3 linked regions of the Astyanax mexicanus genome follow. The protein of the gene in region 3 interacts with the protein of the main gene of each other region in a pairwise test. Links are inferred from orthologs where the notes say so. Each region holds a gene or a part of one and is shown on either strand. Other genes may lie near its edges.

What was found.
Region 1: the proteins of atf4a (region 3) and gcc1 interact in binary tests that used the Homo sapiens proteins (3 or more experiments, as listed by UniProt). The two-hybrid records come from large-scale screens. The link is inferred for Astyanax mexicanus from reciprocal best matches to the Homo sapiens genes ATF4 and GCC1.
Region 2: the proteins of atf4a (region 3) and snap29 interact in a two-hybrid assay, tested with the Homo sapiens proteins (2 studies listed by BioGRID and IntAct). The link is inferred for Astyanax mexicanus from reciprocal best matches to the Homo sapiens genes ATF4 and SNAP29.

Annotation. Positions count from the first base shown.
Region 1 is NC_064409.1:35,744,040-35,751,218, reverse strand, and holds the start of gcc1 (GRIP and coiled-coil domain-containing protein 1), read right to left. Parts: upstream 3,055-7,179; 5' UTR 2,950-3,054; intron 1,433-2,949; 5' UTR 1,380-1,432; coding exon 294-1,379; intron 1-293. Other genes in the region: ADP-ribosylation factor 4, read left to right, coding at 5,398-5,464. UniProt on the Homo sapiens protein: Probably involved in maintaining Golgi structure.
Region 2 is NC_064419.1:75,435-82,940, forward strand, and holds the start of snap29 (synaptosomal-associated protein 29), read left to right. Parts: upstream 1-4,475; 5' UTR 4,476-4,622; intron 4,623-6,439; 5' UTR 6,440-6,469; coding exon 6,470-6,715; intron 6,716-7,388; coding exon 7,389-7,506. UniProt on the Homo sapiens protein: SNAREs, soluble N-ethylmaleimide-sensitive factor-attachment protein receptors, are essential proteins for fusion of cellular membranes.
Region 3 is NC_064412.1:31,402,572-31,410,356, forward strand, and holds the start of atf4a (cyclic AMP-dependent transcription factor ATF-4), read left to right. Parts: upstream 1-4,734; 5' UTR 4,735-4,892; intron 4,893-6,027; 5' UTR 6,028-6,143; coding exon 6,144-6,444; intron 6,445-6,635; coding exon 6,636-7,531; 3' UTR 7,532-7,785. Other genes in the region: apolipoprotein L6-like, read left to right, coding at 645-696, 794-1,526. UniProt on the Homo sapiens protein: Transcription factor that binds the cAMP response element (CRE) (consensus: 5'-GTGACGT[AC][AG]-3') and displays two biological functions, as regulator of metabolic and redox processes under normal cellular conditions, and as master transcription factor during integrated stress response (ISR).

The sequences.
Region 1 (7,179 bases), on a different chromosome or scaffold from region 3:
ATATCTCTATTATAATTCTGATGGGGGAGAGGGAGGGAGGGAGAAAGAGAGAGAGAGAGAGAGAGAGAGAGAGAGAAGCATAAACTCTAGTACAAAAAAAGGCAATCTACCTTCTGAACCTGACAGTAAGTGTTTCTGTGTTATATTGCCAAATAAAACTGCTAATGCATCACCAGGCTCTGTCAACTGTGTCATTGATTCATTGTTAGCTACATTAGCAGAGCTTTTTTATTAAAAAAAGTATTGTCTGGTCGCTGGCATTTTAGAGACATTTGCAGTTGGCCAACACTTACCTTCCTAATCTCGTGCTGAATCTGCTGGTTAAATTGTGCCTTCAGGTCAGCAATCTCTTGCTGCAGCTCCTGTACCCTTGGATCAGGCTTATTTCTCTCAGCCTCTGAAGCCTGCAGACTCTTCCTCAGCATTTCACACTCCTCAGCCATCTTCTTCACCTGTTCCTCATAATCTAGTCCCCTGTCTGCAGCTTGCATGGTTTCCACCAAGGTTTCTCTAGCATCCTCCAGTTTAAGTTCAGCATCTTGTCTTAGACTTCTTTCCTCTTGCAGTAATTTCTGAAGCTCACGGAGCATGTGGGCATGATCACCTTGCTCCTGCTCCCGCTCGTGCTGCTGTGTGATTACGCGAGCCTTGCTCTCTGCAAGCTGCTCCTGCAAAGCCTGAAGCTCATTCTGGTACTGCTTGTGTGCCTCCTCCATCTTCCCCTGCATCTCCTCAAGGTCTTGCTTCATCTTCCGCTTGTCTGCTTGGAAGGAAGCCTCCATTCGAGACTTTTCCTGAGTGACCGTGGCCAAAGAGTTGGTCAAAGTAGACAGCTGAGACTTGAGTTGAATCACCCGGCGATCTACTTCAGCAACTGCTGAAGCAACGGGCTGATCTACACCTGCACTGCTGCCGGAACTGACGCCACTCTCCGAGCCACTCTGAGTGTCTTCTGACTGCTGGATCACTGATCCTTCTCCAAGGCCACTCTGATCTTCCTCTAAAGGGTCACCCTTAGTGCTGCTGCTGGTCACACTGGTAGCCGTGTCAACAGAAGCTGCTGTGTCCACACTGTCCTCACTGTGAATGGAACAGTGGTCATCTACAAGGTCAGTAGGTGGTGGGCATTCTGCTTTGCCAGTGCATCCACTGGAAGGTGGGTCATGGCTGTGTAGGGTTAAATCCACCTCCTGGGACACAGTGAGGACGTTCAGACTAGCTTCCAAAGCTTCCTTCTCTTTCAGCAAACTTTTATACGCTCTGACAACATCTTTTAAACGGGTCTGATATTGGATAAGTTGCTTCTTCTGGGCCTCAATTGTGTCAAGCAGGTCTTTCTTGCTTGGGCCTCCACCAAAGCTCATTCCAAACTTTTCCATTGTGAGGACACACTTAAAGTGCTTTCATAGTAAGAGCTGCAAAATATGTAAACCTGCAGAAGTTTAAAACAGAGGGAGAATGTGTCAGTAAATGCAATATTGGCTTGTTGGTTAAATGTTTAGTTACTACTATAATGAATGCTCCAAGTTAGTGATTATAAAACCTTCACATTTCATCATATTTTGGATATGTTATATGAACATATAACATATAATTGTTCTCTTCTCTTAACCCATTTAATTTAGATTTTTTTTTCGCCGGACATAAAAATATCCAAATCCAAAATAAGTTTTATGACAGGTCACAAATGTGACTTTGCAGCATACATTTTACATTTACCTTCTATGTACTTATCAAATAATATACATAACCCAGGCTAGTTATCACTATTTTGGAACAGAGCTCAAACAAAAAAATTACCATTAAATGTATGATGCCCATCATCCACTTTTATCTAATAATAGTGTACCTGGTATGTATCCGGAATAAATAAAGTATATATTTTTCTGTTTAACTACTTTATCTGTAAACTTTATTTGATTGTGCCGATTCAGTACTGTGATATATTTGTATATATACTTTAACAAAATAATTATTTTCCTTTTTCTAGTAAAGTAGGCAATTTGGAGAAGTTGTGACAGCGGTGACATTTAGTATTACAAGTGACAATACTTATAAAATATACTTAAGCCTTATTATAAAAGCACAAATTTGTTTTATTATACAATTTTTTAATAAATATATTAATTTTATCCTGGGACAACAATAATTGTTATAGTATGTAACTGATAAGCATAGAGATCATATTACAATAATAATTTAGGCACATTTCAATTTGTCTTTAGTGTTTAATTGTGCAGCTTAGACAATTATACTTCAATTGTATTAGGCAGAACTATGCAGAACTATGAATGTGTTTAAGTATGTATACTTAGATTCACTGTGTTATCCCATCAGCCACTATTATTCCAAATACATATATCATTACTCAATACAGCCATTACTTTGCATATTGCAATCAGGGTTTAAACAGCTCTGGTTATGTGCCTGTTTATATCTGTCCAGTCTCATTTATTTTTACTTAAGTTCTGACCATAGTGCAGCCCATACTTATACAATATTTCAATGTCAGCTACTGATTTACTGATTAAATCCAGCAATGACGAACTGAACTAGGTAAAACAGTAAACACTACAGCACATGGCACCCAAAAACCAAACACTGTGGAACTGCTTTAAAATTACTCCAGAGGCTGCATCACTATCACACACTAATCTGCGAATTACAGGAAAGCATAAACTACAACATCTTATAACTGTGGTTTCTACTACTGAAGTCAATACTGTTTTATTAAATCTTAATCCTGAGGTAACTTAGATAGGTTAGGTTAGTTAGGTTAACCTAACGTTAGGTCAGTTACTGCAAGCGGACCTCCTTATCATAACAATTAGCCCGCGAGCTAATCCAAACGGCTAACAAACAAACCCAGCAGAAACCCGGCGACCCCACTAAAGCAGCCGCTCTTTAAACATGTGATTTTTTTGTACTTTACTTAAACTGATTAAATACCTGAGATTTTGCATAAAGCGCGAAAGTCTCTCAGCTACGTGTCAAAATAACATTCCGTCTCTTCCTGCTTCTCTCCCACTCACAGGAAGTGACGTCCTGAAAACGCCTGGTGGCCTGTGACCCTATACGTAAAAAAAAAAAAAAAAAAATATATATATATATATATATATATATATATATATATATATATAAAATAATTAATTAAAACGGTAAATAAATATTTTAAATGAGAATTATTTCATTTAATTATTTATGTATTTATTTAAATATGAAAACGAAGCATAAATAATTAATATATATATATATATATATATATATATATATATATATATATATATATATATATATATATATATATATATATATTAATTCATTTATTTATATAATATTGTCGCAAATAACCCTCCATAGATTGGACAGTGAAGGAATGTAGTCGGAAAAATAAGTTATAATATATATACTTATATGCCGCCTAGCCTACCTAATGGCGAAGCAGCTGGTGTTATGGTAAATTCAGTTCCCCCTTTTCCCCCTTCACTGCGCATGTTGAAATCATGATGTAGCGCAGCTCTGATAGGTTCCATAGACCACTGTCATTATTTTTGTAGGCGGTGCCATGTTGTTTATGTCCATATTTGGGGTTCCGTGTCTAAGCGGTTCATGTGAATGGCGAATTTGAATAGGCTTTTTAAAAACTGGCCTCTATCACATTCTATCACATTCCTAATTATCACTGGATCCTCTTAATTTCGAGATCATTTAAGGGTTCGCGTTTACTTGAAGTTTGGTGGGCGTGAGATTTGGAGGGGGTGGGGGTTGTTTGGTGGTGGGGGTGCACACAGTTCCTCCTCAGTTGTTCAACTGGGGGGGAATACCATGTGTGGTGTGTAAGAGTGTTAACTTGCTGAGGTGGGTGTGTCACACGCTCAAAGCATGAGATTTGAGAACACTGTTAACAGCAGCTCAGATCAGAGACCAGTTAAATGCCACACAGAGTTCTAGCAGAAGACCCATCTCTAGAACAACTGATAAAAGGGAGACTGCGCAAAGCAGGCCTTCATGGTCAAATAGCTGCTAGGAAACCACTGCTAAGAAGAGGCAACAAGCAGAAGAGATTTGTTTGGGCACAAGGAATGGACATTAGTCCAGTGGAAATCTGTGCTTTGGTCTGACGAGTCCAAATTTGAGATCTTTGGTTCCAACCGCTGTGTCTTTGTGAGACGCAGAAAAGGTGAATGGATGGATTCCACATGCCTGGTTCCCACTGTGAAGCATGGAGGAGGGGCTATGGTGGTGTGGGGGTGTTTTGCTGGTGACACTGTTGGGGATTTATTAAAAATTGAAGACACACTGAACCAGCATGGCTACCACGGCATCCTGCAGCAACATGCCATCCCATATAATTTGCATTTAGTTGGACGATCGTTTATTTTTCAACAGGACAACGACCACAAACACACCTTCAGGCTGTGTAAGGGCTACTTGACCAAGAAGGAGAGTGATGGAGTGCTGCGACAGATGACCTGGCCTCCACAGTCACCGGACCTGAACCCAGTCGAGATGGTTTGGGGTGAGCTGGACCGCAGAGTGAAGGCAAAGGAGCCAACAAGTGCTAAACACCTCTGGGAACTCCTTCAAGACTGTTGGAAATTTTTTTTAGATGACTACCTCTTGAAGCTCATTGAGAGAATGCCAAGAGTGCAAAGCAGTAATCAGATCAAAGGGTGGCTATTTTTCCAGAAACTAGAATATAAAACATGTTTTCAGTTATTTCTCCTTTTTTTGTTAAGTACAAAACTCCACATGTGTTCATTCTTAGTTTTGATGCCTTCAGTGAGAAATAGTAGATAGTGTAAAGTATAATAGACAGTGTAAATAGTCGTGAAAATAAAGAAAACGCATTGAATGAGAAGGTGTGTCCAAACTTTTGGCCTGTACTGTACATCACCTCTTTACAGAAACATAATTACATTTCTTAGTTAGGTAGTTAAGCACACCATGCTACACCAATAAGAGGATCTGGACAAGACTTCTAATACATTAACATAAATAGGATTTGGACTCACAATACAAAAAACATATAGTTAGAGAGTGGGGACAGGTAACAAATGCTATTTCTTCAGTGTTCTAAGTAGGTTATTAATGTTTTATTATTAAGTTATTTTGTGTGCACATTTATACATGTAATTTCCTGGGGACAGAAATGGCACCGATTCGGCGGAATATGCCTTAAAGTGAGTGTAAAGTGAGTGAGTGAGTAAGTGCACTACAGAGGGAACAGACAGTCGTTTGGGACTGGGCCTCACTGAAGACGCGCTGACGTCATTTCTTCCGCGTTGGCCTGGCCGTGGACGGAGGTCAGCTGCAGAGACAGAGAGCGGCTCCACTGCTGGAAACACCGGCTGATTTATTCTGTTATCAGCTCTACATCTCTCTGATCTCCTGACCATGGGAATCACCATATCCTCCCTGTTCTCTAAGCTCTTCGGGAAGAAGCAGATGAGGATACTGATGGGTGAGCGAACGGCTGTCTGTCTGTCTGTCTGTCTGTCAGAGCTCTCGGCTAATGAAAGCGAGACCCTCTGATCATCACAGCCCTTTTTACACATTAACACCATTAACACATACGAGCACACCGCTAATGCTTTACTCACAGCCTGATCAGCACATAGTCTCTTCTCCTTTACTATCAGTCAGACCGACCCTGAGCAGCAGGTCAGCTGTAGAGCTGTAGATCTGACCTGCGGACAGTTTAAGTGTCTCCTCCTGTTGTTTTATTGATGCCTAAAGTAATTTAATACTCGATCCTCAGGTGGGTCGATTTACCTTTACTCGCTCCCTGAGCACAGCCTGTTCTTTCTGATTTAATTAAATTGTTTAAATGTAAATACCTTTACTCATACGCTCCTGAATATTCATGAGATAATTATACACATCTACCCTTTTATTCCCGTCTATTCATTTAGTTCCTTGCTTATTTTCGGGATTAATTTAACCTAAAGAGCCCATGGTAATTAAAAGCTCCTTACAGCACTCTGTCCTCACTCAGAAACTCCTTCACTGATATAAACTGAACATAGCCCACTGATCATCAAAATTTGAAATCCAAATATGCAAACTATACTTGGATCAACAAATAGAAAGGCTGCAAATGCTGTAAATATTTGCCACCATTTCTTATGCCCCGGTATATCATAAGTTACACTGCCTGGACAAAAAATAGTCTCCACCTGCATTTAACTAAGTAAATGATGGGGGTTGCTGCAGTTGGGGGATGGGGTGTAGTAATGTAGTAACTAGGGATATACTAATAAGGGAACTCATGCAGATTATAAAATATGTCCACAGGTGTTTTTCTAATTAACTCAGATGTTGCCAATAAACCTATCAGAAGCTTCCAAAGTCATTATATGATCATATGGGCTGTGCCAAATTGTTCAGTCATAGTAATCTTAGCGTATGTAAACTTTTGACTAATAAAATGCGCACAAAATGATGTCGCTCTCATTATTCTGGCATTTGGAAAATATAATTTAGGAATTCTAATTGACCTAAAATGGGAAAGGTTTATTCTGATGTCATGTTAGACAATGAGGAAAAACAAGGTTAACCTCTTTTAAAGCCAGCTTTTTTGTCAATTTTCTGCCTGATATTACATGCCTAAATATTAAGGCTACCTATTCAAGCATTACATAAAAAGGGTTCATATTTGATAGGAAACATTACTGAAAATCTGAGAAAATATTTATTAAATATTTATTTAAATCTGCAACTGTAGATAATAAAACATAAAGTGAATAAAAATTATAGTGGATAAAAATCACAAAAATGGCACTTTCCTAAGCTTCGTTTTAAAATCTGTATTTTTGTGAATACAAATATTTTAATGTGCTTCAGAACTTTAATTTTGTTACGGTTGTCTAGTTTTTATGTCTATTTTCAAACATTTTTAAAACAAATTATTAGGTGGAGTAGAGGGTGAACTGGCAGCATCTCCTGTAGGAGAGTCTCTAAAGGCCTCAAATTCTTCAGAATGTAAATGGCTTATTTTGCTACAGAGAAAAAGGGTTTTATATAACCTACACATAAGTTCAGCAACCCCTCTGTTAGATGTAAGATTGTTGGTTGGTTTTATGATGGTTTAGATAATTCACAATTCAAGCAAACGCCAAAAACAACTTTAAACTTCAAAGTACTGAAGTACCAAATTGCATTGTAGTGTTTTGGTTC
Region 2 (7,506 bases), on a different chromosome or scaffold from region 3:
CATCTTACCTGATATTTACTTTAAACAGAAATACAACCCAAATTCCTCTCCTCTCCACTTAGTGCAGCTAAATATACCACACTATATTCACCAAAACTATTATATCACACTATATTCACCAAAACTATTATATCACACTATATTCACCAAAACTATTATATCACACTATATTCACCAAAATTATTCACTCACCCGTACAAATCACCGATCTCAGGTGTTCCTGAATCTCCTCCGTCTCCACAGGTGTTTAATAAAATCAGCAGCTCCTCCTGCAGCTTCTACAAACACTAGTGAAAGAATAGGATGCAGCACCTGTGCAACAAGTCCAGTCATAAAATTTAAATGCTAAATATTCCACAGCCAACTGTCTGTGATCATCCTGACCGTGTGTGTGTGTGCGTGCGTGCGTGTGTTCTCCAGACTTTGGCTTCATGTTTGAGAGTTCTCCTGGAGGAAACCTGGGCTGGGAGCCGGACATTAAGCTGACTGATGAGATGGTGATGATCATGGGAGGAAAGATGGAAGCCACACCCTTCAAATGGTTTATGGAGATGTGTGTGCGGGGCTACCTGGCCGTCAGGTGAGAGATGTACACGCTGTGTTTACTTGTTTGCTTGTTTATAATGAGTGAATTTGTGCTGAAACGCTGTGTGTTTCTCTACAGGCCGTATATGGATGCTGTGGTCTCCTTGGTGACGCTCATGTTAGACACCGGTCTTCCGTGTTTCCGTGGTCAAACCATCAAACTGCTGAAGTAAATTAATCTACTGCACATAAACAACAACTTAGTGTATTTGTGTTTAAGGAAAAGTCGTTTGTGAGGGGGCTCCGGTTGGTGTAGTGGATAAATGCACTGTCAGACCTGAGGGTCACTGTTCCAGTGCAGAATCCAGCTGCCAGACATCAGCAGCCGGGGAAAAAAGAGGTGGAGTCTGAGGAGGCAGAGGGGAAGTTCATATGACTGGAGATTGTGTAATTGGAGAAAAGAGGGTAAAATCAGAAATTAATTATTAAAGAAACCCATGTTTGTGTGTGTTTGCTTACAGGCAGCGATTTAACCCCAGCATGAGTGAGAAGGAAGCAGCGGCCTTCATGATTAAAGTCATCCAGAACTGCTTTCTCAGCAGCAGGTCGGTCTCACACAGGTTTTTTTTTACACTTAAAGTTAGTTAAGAAGGTCGTTTAGTTTGAAAGTTGGTTTGGTTTGGTTTGATTTGGTTTCACACATGGAAAACGGAAATTCATGTGATGATGTCTCTGCTAATTGTTTGATTACAGTGAGACAGGACGCAGACTTTTGTTTTTATTTATTGCGTAAATCTTCAGCAGTCGCATCAGAAAATGGAGTTCAGTGTGAAAACTTCTTATCACTGAGGAGCAGCAGAGACAGTGTTAGTTAATAGCTGTAATAATTATCTGCATAATATATCAGGTTAAACTGCACTTAAACAGCCGTTCAGCTTAAACAAGATCAAAGCTAAATCACATTCCCACCACAAACAAACTGTTTAGAACCGGACCAAGACTACCTCCTCTCACGGGTCTCGGTTCGACTGTATTGATCCACACCGGAGTGGTATTCTTTTTAAAATAAACTTTATTAAACATTTTCAAAGCACATTACAGAGTCATCACAAAACTGTGAGCGCCATTACTGTTTTCACACCTGTCAAAACGAACCACATCAAGAGGGAGCAAACTAACCCGTCTGATTTAATGGAGTTGTGCTACTCTCTCTCACAAGAACTGAACCTGAAAATGAGAAGAATGATGTACAGCAGTACAAACACAGTATAATGTGTTTTATTCTTGTTTTTTTTAGGAGTAAAACCTATGATATGATCCAGTATTACCAGAACCAAATCCCGTACTGAGCTGACAGCCGACAGTACAGTTACAGCTGGACCCTTACTAAAATCTCATGTATGTTTTATGGAAGAACTGTTACATCTGTGTGTGTGTGTGTGTGTGTGTGTGCGCACATAGAGTGTTAATGCACAGTGTTAAATAGGGGTGGGACAAAATATCAAAATCAATATATTCTATTGTTTTGTTTGCGATACATTATTCATCAAATATGTTTTTTTTTTTATTTATTGAAACAGGCGCTCTAAACCCCCTAAGCCCCGCCCTCAATTAGAGGAGTTACTAAAGTTACTGCTTCATTCCACATGGTGGCGCTATAATCTAATGAATAGGGTTAACAAAACCTTCAGTGAAGAATATCGGTTGCTAAATTGTGTAAAACTGAACCAATAAATCTATAATTCCTGGTATTTGATTATTTAGGAGTATTTTATTCTCTTCAGAAACACAGACGATGTGAAAGATCATAGAATTGTGTTGTGATTTATCGACTATCACAGAATCACAGTATCGTGATCTTATCGTTATTGTGGGCAGTGTATCGTGATATTGTATCGTGAGATGCCCTGTGATCCCACCCCTAGTTTTAACATGTTTGCCTCCCTTGTTGTGGAATTTTGATTGCCTGTTTGTTCAGTACTCTCTGCACTTTATACGCCTGTAATGCACTTGCAAGTTTTTAATCTTTTATTGAGTTCTTCAAATGAATATCCATATATGAACCATTTCTCCCTTTCAGATATTCTTTTTTTTTTTTCATTTTGACAACTTTTTACATAAAAAAAATAAAATGTGCCTCATGTAGACTTGTAGAGAGAAATGGTTAAAATGGTTATTGGTTGAAACCGCGCTGCCCTGCTGATGTACTGTTAACTGCATGGCTTCAGTGTGTGAGAAAAACAGCGCAGTAAAGGGCAGCACTTTATTCTACAGTATGGTAAGTGACTAGTATGTAATATGTAAATAAGTTAAAGGTAACAATACTAGTGATTTTACGGTACTTTAGTAAGGCAGTGGTAACTACTAGTAAAACTACCAGCTGCCAGGTTTTAGGACACATGCTTCATACACGTTAAATATTCAAATTCACTAGTATATACTGTATCTACATTCTGAATAAGACAATAAGAGAACAGTTACTATTTAATCTGTTATCAAACCCCAAAACCAGCACAGCTCCATTTATCTGTTATCAAACATGAGCCATTAATTCAGCTCGGAAAAGTTAGCATTGCCCGTTAGCTAATGGGCTAATCGGTCATTTTTTGACTTAAAAAACGCCAGTGCAGAAAATATATAAGAAGAGATTTGTGCTAAAATATAATATGTAAAATATAAAATATAATAATAATAAAAGTGATGAAAATGATTAAGAAATATTAATTAATCACAGAGCATCAGTTGCCAGTACTAGTAGTTACCATTGCGTTGCTTCTTACTATTTACCTATTAAATAGTAATTACTCACATACTGTGAAATAAAGTGCTACCCACTGAAGTTTATTATGCCTCAACATTACAGACTTATCAAGAGTTTGTAGCTTTCATCTCTTTAAAGTCTCAAAACATACGATTGATCACTGAATGCTGTTTTCTGTGCACTTGCTATGATGACACCTGGCATTTGAGTCTTGCTGTAAGAAATCCCAGTTTCTTGCTTCTCTTTCGAGATTGAAATTGCTTTTTCTAAAATACGAGCACTAAATATAATTAATAAGAGATTTACATTAATTTAAATATAAAAATATGTACATTGATATGTCTATAAAATACTGTGCATCATATCTGACTGATGGCTTTGTAACTTGCTAACTGCACTAAGTTTGTGTTCAGTTGTGAACCATTGTTCACCAAGACTGAAGGTCTTTAAATCAGTGATTAATAAAATCATATAAATTTTTTTAAGGTTTTAGAAATACTCCATCCTGCCCTGCTGGGTGAGAATTACAGACTATTTCAGCCTGTGAAAATTTGTTAGATACACACCAATCAGAACCAGATCAGCCCGAGGTCCTATTTAACCAATCACAGCTTGTTTACAGTATGTGCCTCAGTGTTGAACAGATTGTGAAGTGATTTTAATATTTGTACACTCGTTTACATGTTTGTCATTTTTCTGAATCTTTTCTATCCTGCACTGTTTTTGGATGGATACAGCCTGAGATGTTTAAATAAATTATTATATGGAAACAGACTGTGTGTTTTCTCTACATTACACTGCGTCTGAAATGATGACGTGATATAATAATTATTTCCATACACCTTCACTGCAAAGAACGGGTCTCTCTCAGGAGCTCCGTGAACTCCAGCACTGTGGTACCGTGAAATTTCAGAGCTTCAGAGTTCATCACTACACACCTCTCAACTTCTAACTTTTAATATGTTTAGTGATACATGTGGAAATACTGAAGGTGGCAGCAATGCATCAAATTAAATACCAGCTGTCATAAAACATCATATAATTAAAATAGACTTTTATTATTATTATTATTATTATTATTATTATTATTATTATTATTATTATTATTATTATTATTATTATCATCACAGTACCCGAGCGTTTGTGGCGCGGGTGTGACGTCATTACGGCGAGTCAGAAAGAGGAAGTTTAGGGTCACCTGATCCTCCTGGGAACACAGCGGGATACAGCACCCCTCAGTGAGCGGGACAGCGCAGTGGGGGCGCGCCGAACTCCGTTACACCCGCAGCAGCAGCAGCATCGCTGAGTTACAGGAGGACATTATTCTGTTATATCGGTGAGTTTTTTAAATTTAGTTTAGTTTATTCGGTGTAACTTCAGTAACCTAACATAGCCTCGCTAACAGGGTTAGCATAGCAAGCTAACAGCTGTTATTTAAACCCACAGATATTCAGCTGTTGGATTACTGTTGTCTGGAATTGATCGTTTTTGTGATTTATTTATATTAACATGGATAAATAATCATATTGTAACTACCTGCCTGTCACTGAACATGCGGTTAATTTACTAGAACCCGTCATCATCTACAGTATCTACATTAGATTAGATTAGGGAGCGTTAGCGGAGTTAACTCAGCGGTGCTAAGCTAATGCTAACGCTAATTTGCCAGAGAAGAGCTATTAATAGCTGATATCTAACCGCGGCTTTTAGCTGTTTTCATTTCATGACAGCACTTTTAATGTGTTTCAAGCTACACATTAACTGAGTCAGCAGAATATAATCGCTGTTTTTATTTTCCGGCGGTAAGAAAAGTTACTTAATGTTATAATAAGCGAACAGACACGAGGCTAAGCTGTTAGCTAACGCTAGCTAACGTTACATTCCGTGTAATTCACGTGATTATTATTAACTAAATTACACGTTTTACTAAGATGTTCTAGTTAATGAGGCTTTATTAAACTAGCTAAAAATCCAGTATATAACGCTATCTATAATAAGCAGCTGATATTATATTTAACTGATAAATTTAGTCTTTATTAAAGGATTTGTGACAGAAGGCCAGATGCTTAATTATTCCATAAAGTACACTGTGTGTGTAATCTATGAATCATCAACATTATTTGTGATTAGCTTACATCATACTGGTGTTATAAAAAACATGCATCAGAATCCAAGATTGGTGTGCTTGTTTTATTTAAGTTTTGTCCTTTGAAAATGTACAACTCATCAACTTCTAACCAGTGACTAACCAGTAAACTGAGGCATATTTTGAGTTGATCACAACACTAGACTAACTATCTAACGGGACATTTAGAGGAGAACAATCAGCTAGAATTGATTAATGTTGTGTTGGTGTGCCAACTGTAATGATTATCCACCATAGCTTTATTCATTTTTTCTTTATGATGCAACAACAGATTTTTCACGAAACAGGATGTTTTAAAACCTGTATACAGTGCTGACATCGCCAACTACACCCTGCAGAGGAAGGAAGCTGGTTTATCCTGTCTTCAGTCCCAGTCCTGTTAAATAATGTCTGTTCAAAATAAATGTTTTACATCTTCTCCTGTTGGACAGGCTTTGGGTTTATGGCAGGGGTTCTTAACCTTTTTAATGAACGGAAGTATTTTGGAAATATTTCACAAATCTTTGCAACACGACTGGGTGCTTATTTTCAATGATGAAAGACCAGTCTTCTGTCAGTTTGTATGGGAAGAGACAAACTGATAAAATCTGATAAAAATATATATTCTAGACATATAGACATTTTTGCACATCATCTCTTACATTACTGCTTCCAATTCTACATTCTAAACAGAACTACATTTTTAAACAAATTTGGATGTGCAAGCCCACAGCCTACATTAATGTATCTGAATCAGTTTGTGCTAAGATGTATAAAGTATAGAGTGTCTAATGAGTGGGTCTGATTCAGTTAAAGGAAAACTCTTTATAATGTCTAGATATGATTGTCTGTACATTTTGCAGAGAAACAGCCCTTAAGTAGAATCACCCTCACGACCCCTGTGAACTGTTTCAGAACGGAGGGTTAAGGTTATCTGCTTTGTGGGTGACGCTGTTTACAGGGTAACTGATGTGAAAGAACATGTTATTAGTGTGCAGCCGAGGAAAACTTTTTTTTTTCTTGCACAGTCGCTTACAGAACACCGCTGTGGTCGGAGGATGGCGGCGTATCCTAAATCCCACAATCCATTTGCCGATGATGATGAAGAGGAACCAGCAGGGCCGAGGAGGGGCTTTAATTTTGACGATGAGGAAGAAGAGGAGAGTAAGCTGAGTCCTGCGGAGAGGCGGCAGCGGCAGCTGGAGCAGCAGGTCATGCAAACGGCGAAGTCGGCGGTGGACAGTAGCTATCGCTCTCTCGGCCTCATCTATGAATCAGAAAAGATTGGGACAGAGACAGCAGAGGTGAGATGTTCTTAAACCTCGGGGGTCTAAGGGAATTTTTTCAATTCTCATGTAACGCAGAGCAAATTTGGAGAGATAATCTGAAAAGTATTTTTTTTTTATTTTTTCTGCGTATATCTTGTGAAGATTCACCAAGTGAAAAAAGCACACACACACACATCCTGGCTATTTGCATTATTCCTGCTTAGTAAATCATGTGACACAGGTTTAGAAATATTTAAAACAGTGTTTGGCCTTAATCTGCTTGTATACAGTATTTTTGATTGTTTTAGCAGAATCTGTAACAGAATCATCTAATACTTGCATTTATTAGTGCAAAACTTGTTGATGTGATTCGCACTAGTATATTGCTGGTATTTACACTTATTCACACCAAGAGTATATAGAATAAAACTTTTATAAACAATTAATACAGATACAGTGGTATGAAACGTTTTTAATGATTTTTCTTTATAAATCATTGGTTGTTCGGATCAGCAATTTTGTTGGATGGAATCAAAGGGGCAGATTCTTCTGATTCAGGAAGTGTTTTAAGTATATTTCTGTTATTTGAGTTGGACCTGCTGTAGGAGCACAGGCAGGGCTCATTGTTGGAGGTCTTGCCTCAGAAGTGTTTTATGGCTCGTCACGTTTTTTTTTTTTTTTTTTAATCACGCCGTCTCTCTGTTCTCAGGAGTTGATTCGTCAAGGTGAGGTATTAAAGAGGACGGAAAGAATGGTGGATAATATGGAGCAGGACATGAGGACTAGTCAGAGACACATAAACTCCATTAAGAGCGTTTGGGGGGGGC
Region 3 (7,785 bases):
TCTGCAACTGAACAGCAGGGGGCGCCCGACCTGTGGTGGCTTCACTTTTGAGAGACGATGCTCTGTCCAGCTATACACAGTCTATGTAAAGCCGTAGTCCATGAAGTTCTTTAGTTTTCTTTCTAAACTGCAGTGTGAAACCAAAACTAATCGGACCAAGTTCATATGATGTAATAAGCATATAAACTTTGGTTCAGACTGTCCACAGTGATGTTATTTTGGTTTGACGTGTTATACTTTCAACAAAACCTATTATGTTTATTCTAATTACAACATTTTCTGAAATCTGATTGGCTGAGCCAAGTCAAGAATCCAAACTAACTGATAGCATTCTGAAATTGAGTAGGCCAATTAAAAAGGTCAATACGCTGTTTATAGAATAATCTTTGAGCTATACTTGGTAAGTGTAGCTTACTGTTAGCTTACTGCCAGGGAATGGCTTGAGCAGTATATAGACCCCCAGCCTTGAGCTGTGGAGCAGTAAAACTGTGTTCTCTGGAATAATGGTGCTCCATCTAATACATACTACTGGAGATGAGGTGTGTTTCCTTTAATTAAGTTTAAGCTACTGTCACATTTTGATCATAAAACAATGTTATTCATAAAAACACTGTTTTTAAACATGGACCTTCTTCTTTCTTTAGCTTGGGAGAACGTACCCAATTGTCATCATCTCCCAAAAAACAAAGCAGCAAAGTAAGTGTAAAATAAACAATATTTTGGCACTTAATTTAAGCCGTGTTTAAAACCGTTCTTCTTCATAACATAACCCCTGGTCTCTCTTCCTCCTCAGAACATTCACAAAGAAGGCTCGCCACGTAAAAAAGGCAGTCCGCCTGTATGATTTTCTCCTGTCTGAGCGTGAAGATACTCTTCGTGGTCTCACAGATGAGCTGTCAGGAGTAGCTGATAACTTGAACAAGGTGTATAAAGGTGCAAGGATTGCTGGCATTACTGGTGGGGCAGCAGGGGCAGCTGGAGTGGCAGCTGCTGTAGGGGGCATATTACTTGCCCCACTGACTTTGGGTGCTTCATTAGCAGTGACCGCAGTTGGGGTTGGTGTGGCTGCTGCTGGAGGGGTCACAGGAGCCTCCGCCGCAATCACCAACAAGGTCAACAGCGACAATGACAGAAAGAAGGTGGAGAAAATCCTTCAAGACTTCACCACTGAGATAGAGGATATTGAGAACTGTGTGATGTTCATCAGGTCAGGGATCAAGTACCTAAACAGTCACAACCTGTCTGAGTTGCACGGGGTGGACCAAGAGGTGGTGAAGGTGGCAAAAGTGGCTGGTGTGGCTGGAAGAAATACTTTAGCCATCTGTGCTTTCAGCAAGGCCTCAGGTGTGATTCAGGGCTTTGCACTGGGCATGGACATCCACTTCACCACAAACGACAAGCAGAAGCTGAAGAAAGGGTCAGAAACCAAGTTTGCCAAGCAGATCCGTGAGGTGGCTGAGAAGATGAAAGCCAGCCTTGATGAGCTAATGAAAGTTAAAAATGATCTAAAATCTGCAGACTTGTAAAAAACAGGTTAGTTATGAACAGAAAAGCACGAAATGTGGGTTATCTGTGGATGAATACCCTAAAATCTAAGGTAATGTTTAGCCAGCATTAGTTCTCAAAAAATCAGTGACATTATGGGAGTGTTTCCCATTCCTTTTCTGGTGAGGCTTTACTGTAAATCTTACACTACTTACAATTTTCTTTTCAATTTAGTCGTTTCACCTCATCACACCTACCCTTCACACAATGGAAGTATCATTGAATGTCATTTGAAAGTTGAACACACTTGGAGGACAACCCTCTAGTCTACCTGAAGACATTTACATCAATTATGTTCACTCTCAGCCATAGGTAGATCTTGGGTTGCAATCAGTCATGAAAGCCTTATCCTACGGTCAGGTTGTGTTGATGGATAAACCTAAAGGTAAGCTCCACTTCTCCAGAGATCACAGTTCCATCATTATATAGTAGAATAATAGAGGAGTTTCCTTGAACCGCTCTTGCCAGCTATTGCATGGTGATATAAGGATTGTGTGTGAATGCTTCAGAGTGTCCCATTCTATTGTCACTGCTTTTCAATGGAAATCTTTCAAGTTGGATGCAATATTTGCATATCTGGATACTTTGACATTAAGCTTTTAATGTTAACTGGAACACTTTTTTGGAAAATCAAAATAGCGAAGCTTTCTAAACCTTTTATGTAATCAAATAAAAAAACGTTTATCAAAACACTATTGATTGTATTAGATATTTTGCAATATAATAAATACATTTAAATGAGGAAACTGTAGTCTTTTATTTGATATTTAATGTGTTGTGAGAATTAGACCCACACAGCAGAAAGGCAAGTGTTGAATTAACTCTCCAGTTTTTCTGGGCACACAGGAAAATTCCTCCTTTTTCAGAAGATCTTTGTTCAGCTCCTTTTTTTGGAATAGAGGGAGAAAACATCCTGTCCAGGTAACAATAAAGAAGCTGACTACAATGCCTTTTTTGTTTTTCCAGTATTTATCATTAATTACAACTTGAAACAATGTTATTTCTTATTACACTTACATTAAGTAAAGTGTCAGAACACCATAATCAAACACTGTACAAAATATATATTTTTTAACATTTAGTCTGAAGCAACACATTAATACACATAAAGAGGAATCTTATCCTTAACTTTAAAGAAAATTTGGTACATTTTATGTTAAGTACTTATTGCAATTGCATATTTAGCAATTAATTATATTATTTCACTTAATATTTCTTGCACTGTCTCCATATTTAGTTGAGATGAGGCTTAAGCTGTTCACCTTTTTATGGTAAAATATTAAGCCATTTTTAGAAAGTTATGAGATGCCAAAAGACAGTATTCTGATAATTATCCAGTTGGTTATGCCACTTTTTGCAAGAATGCAGGGAAGAGGTCAACATCAATGTGAAGTGATTTTTCTTGATTGACCAACATTTCTGAACCTGATTTTGTTGGCCTATTATAGAACTCACCTTGCCCAAAACATCATATTATGGGGTCAACCGTATCTATAGTGTGCATAGTATAGTATAGTATAGTGTAAAACCCAATAAGGCTATTTTATCTAAAATTGGTGAAACTGATTGATAAAAGTATAAGTAAGAGTAACTCAATTTTCAAGTTAAACTAATATTCTATATTAAATAGGTTTTAATAAGTAAGTTTAGGTTACACTAGCTTACGTTTTGTGAACAAAATAGATTTGTATTTCATTGTTTTTAATTGATCTAAGAAAAATCTGCATTTGAAAGACGACATAAAAACCAATAGAAGGAACACTCTAGCACACAGCATTAGCACCTTACCCTTACACCCTACAACAAAAGTTGATTTAACTATGTTTGAATACACAGAACCAGTCTAAATTATTCATATTAAAAGCATAAAAAATTAGGGGACTCATAAGGACCTGACCTGACCCTGACCTAAACCCAACTGAGATGGGTGATTTGGGATGAGCTGGAGCAGAGCGTGAAGGAAAAGCAGCAACTATTGTTTAGCACCTTCAGAAACTCCTTCAAGACACTGAAGGCTCTAAATCATGAAAATGCAAAGAGTGTGCAGAGCTGTCCTCAAAGCTAAATGTGGCTACTTATAGGACTCTAAAGAATAAAACATGTGTTGGTTTGTTTTTCACCTTTTTTTACAGTATAATTTGTATGTGGTCCTGGACAGCTTCAATATTAAAATTACAATGTAAAAAATCTAAAGAAAAAAAGAAAACGCATTGAATGAGAAGAGCTGTGCCCAAACTTTTGTGTCCACAAATGTTCACCTAACTCAAAATAGTTGAGTAGGCCTAATGTTTGAAAATAACCAATTTTAGACTTAATTTATTTGAGTTCAAATTAATTGTGGGTTTACAGTGTAGTTTATATGTGTATAATGATTACATGACAATAAAGCTTAATACAATAGTCAGAATTACTTTATTGTTATGCCAGGGAAAAAGGCCTAGAGGGCAGCCTTGTACCATTTCCTATTGTTGTCTGTGAGCCACTGAGGCCACGAGGCCATTAACAAAATAAATAGGACTCTTTGGGAGGAAATGTGTTTCCATTTTCTCATTTTAATGTAAAGAGTTAATTTAATAAACCGTAGCTATATAAAATCATGTGTAAGATATTAGTAATATCACTGTTTCAGTACTGATTTATTGATGTGTTGAGAATAGTTAGTTCGTAGTCTCGTGATATATACAGACGCTGCATTTACGTCATCTGTTACTGTGTGGTGTTTAAAGTGTAGTTTAGGATTTTGGGAAAGGGGTAAATTCAGAGATATTCTTATAAAAACTATATTATTTGTTTTTACAGGAGCAGGTCTTTAATGTAATTTACGTCTATTATGTTGTATTATCTCAAATAAATACTCAGTTCAAGTAAAAGTGTTTTAATTAACATGGTCAACAAAAGTCACTTTTTGTTAGAAAACCTTATGGTAATATCAGTTGTGTTGACGCTATAATATAATTTAATAGTAAAGTGTCGGAAATGAAAAAGTTGTGGTGTATTTATTATGTCGTCGCATATTCCTCCCCACAGCTCTGTTTAGGAACTATGTTTTTCCCCACGCGTCACACAACCTGGCGATCAGCTCCACCAATCAGAAAGAGATGCAGCCCGCGGAGTGATACCAGAATGTTTCGGAGGCGGAAGGTCATATGTGGGTGTTGTATGTGAGTATATAAGGTCATGTGACGCCCTACCGACGTTTTCGTTCTCTTTCCCTTCTGTAATACAACGCGTTGAGCTGAGAGCTCCCTGCTCAAAATGGCAGTGTAGCGGCTTGCAGCGGCAAAACTCGCAGCGGCGGATCCTGCAGTGCAACGGCGAATTGCACTGATTCTATTAGGCAAAATGGCGTAAGTATAATTTTGTATTTTTTAGTGATTTGAGGTGAGAGGACCGGATGACTGAAGTAGGCCGGCTAGCTTATGTCGTCGTTACCGGCAGGGGAGGAGTTGTCTTTGTTGGTGGGAGGTATAATGTTAAATGTGTCAGCTACCTAATAAAGTTATACATACAAAAATACCTACAATCGAGATTTAATTAATGTCAGGGTTGTACATTTATTAACCTGCAATGAGTCTGAACTTTACTTGGCCTTATTTACCGCCCCCGCCATTTGATACAGTTCCCGCCCTCAATATTTATTGTTAATTTTTTTAGCTGACGAACTGTAATTGTGCTTATAAAATGTACTGGGTTATTACTGTGGTATTATGTTGTTTGTGAGGGAGGTCGTGTTTAAAATGGACCAATAAAAACAAAAACACAGCTGTCCGCCTTTGACCAGACAACGTGGCACTATTCAAAATGGCGCACCAGCTTCCCTCCCTCGTGCTGGCTGTGTTGTGAAAATGGCGCGATCGCCAAGGGCACAGCCGCCATGAGGGAGGGGCATAAGGCGGGGCTTGGTGCACCGTGACCATATTAAGGAAACTTGTGACGTGTGGGCGGAGCGTTTTTGGCAGGCCTTGTGGTTGACGGGAAAGAAGAAAGACTGATTTAAATTGTCTTGGAGCAGAGTTTTCCTGTTGAAACATGAAACTGTTAAATGTTTGGAATTTACTTTGTGGGGAGGTGGTGTTTTTGTGTAGGTGGTAGGGAAGTATTTGAGTAATATTTGGCTTCTTTTCCTAATTCTATACTCATTCCATAAAAACGGGTCAGCATGAATTCAGTTTTGGACCAGTTTCAACAAAAAGTAGTGCTAATACATGATTGACTGGTTTTTATATATAGTTTAATTACAGTGCCTTGGGCGGTGTTGTGGTGACTGACTAAACGTGTTTGACCTGTATTGGGACATTTTCTTACGTGTTCACAAGAGAGCTTCATAATTACAGTGGGAACCACATAATGAGGTAGCTTGTATAAACCTGTTGTAGTTTTTTGTTTAAGTCATGTCTGAGATAGAGGTTTTACAAGAAGATTAAATGTTTACATGGTAACCTTTTTCTTTTTTTGTTTTCTGTTTTTGCCTTTTTTTTTTAGGTCCTTTGAGGCAACCACCCTCAGCTTTGCTGCCGTCGACAGCATACCAACTTTGCTCGACTCATCATCAGAACTCCTGTTCTCGTTGACTCTGTCACGACCCCTGACCAGCCACCATGTCTCTGACCTCACAGATGTGCATGGAGGACGTGGGGGCCCTGCTCTTGGGGCCCTCGACTCTGATGGCTGACCCCTTCGGGCCCCTTCTGGACGAAGATGAAGAGAGAGCTCTTTCTGAGGGGTCGTCTTCGCCCCTCTCCTTCTCTTCATACTCTGAATCTTACACCTCCTCCCCGTTCTCCCCCTTTTCGGCCCCTGCTCCTCTAGGGTGTAAAGTTGGGTCTGACCTGCTGCCGCTCCCCTGGCTGTCTGCTGGTGAGCAGATTGATGCTCATGTAAGAGCAGATCAGAAAGAAGGTAAGACTGGTTGAGCAACTTAAGCATGACACCTACATTTATGACCCATTCGTGTGAAGTGTGAAAACAGTGGTCACAAATTAAACAAGTGCATATATAAATTATATAAGTGAGAAATGGAAAAATCAGAATGCCAGAATTGCCATATGTTGTCACTAGCAGAGAATAACCCAAAAGCTTTTCTGTTGCAGGGGATGCGTTTTCTGGCATGGACTGGATGACAGAGAAGATCGACCTAAGTGACTTCGACCTGGATTCGCTCATCGGGTCCTGTGATTTAGATGAGCCCCCCAGCTCACCAGAAGAGCTGCTGGCATCCTTGGAGTCCCAAATGGATCTGGACCTGGCTCCCCTACCATTTCCCTCATCTTCACCCTCTGACCCAGAAGAGCTTGGCCTGCCTCCTCTTTCCCTTGACCTCCCACTTCCAGAGCAACCGGCAGACCCTGAGGTCCGTCCGGAGCCCATTCCCATTGAGATAAAATCAGAGCCATTGTCTCCTGCCTTCACCCTGGAACTGGGCAGTGAGGTGGACATCTCAGAGCTGGAGAAGGTGGTTTCCAAAACCAGTAGTGACCAACAGACCCCCAGCATTGTGCTGTCCCTCTCACCTGCTCACATTGTGGTTGTTCTTGCGCCCAAAGAAGAGGTGAGTGTCATGCCCAGTTCCTGTGCAGACCAGTCTGACAGTGGCATTGAATCAGTCTCTGGTTCTCCCCCTCACAACCCGAGTCCTGCACCATCCCCCAAGCCTGTTGGCACTTCCAGAACCAAGCCATACTCCAAGCCAGACCCAGAGGCAGGTGTCACAGTTGTTGGTAAAGTGAAGACAGTCACTGGGAAGTCTGTGGACAAGAAGCTGAAGAAGATGGAGCAGAATAAGACAGCAGCGACCCGCTACCGGCAGAAGAAGCGGGTAGAGCAGGAGTCCCTGAATGAAGAGTGTACTGAGTTGGAGAAGAGGAATCGTGAGCTGTCGGAAAAGGCTGACTCGATAAGTAGGGAGATCCAGTACCTAAAGGATCTTATTGAAGAGGTCCGTTCTGCCAAGAACCGCAAGAACAAGACCAAGGCTGACTCTCCCTGAGATGTAGGCCAAGATACTTTAATTAAAGATCAGCTCCATCAAAAAGTATAAAGTGTACTGAAAGTATCTTTAGTTTCTCACCCCCTCACAATTCACACACCCTCAATATTCACTGTATGTAGTTTTAACAGAATCAACTATTTTGTGTAATGTGAGCCATACAAAACTAAAATGGGCACATAGACGCACACAGAAACCTGAACAGTGGAAGGTTGTTGTCCTCCCCCACTTCTCTCATTTTTAAACCTGTCATA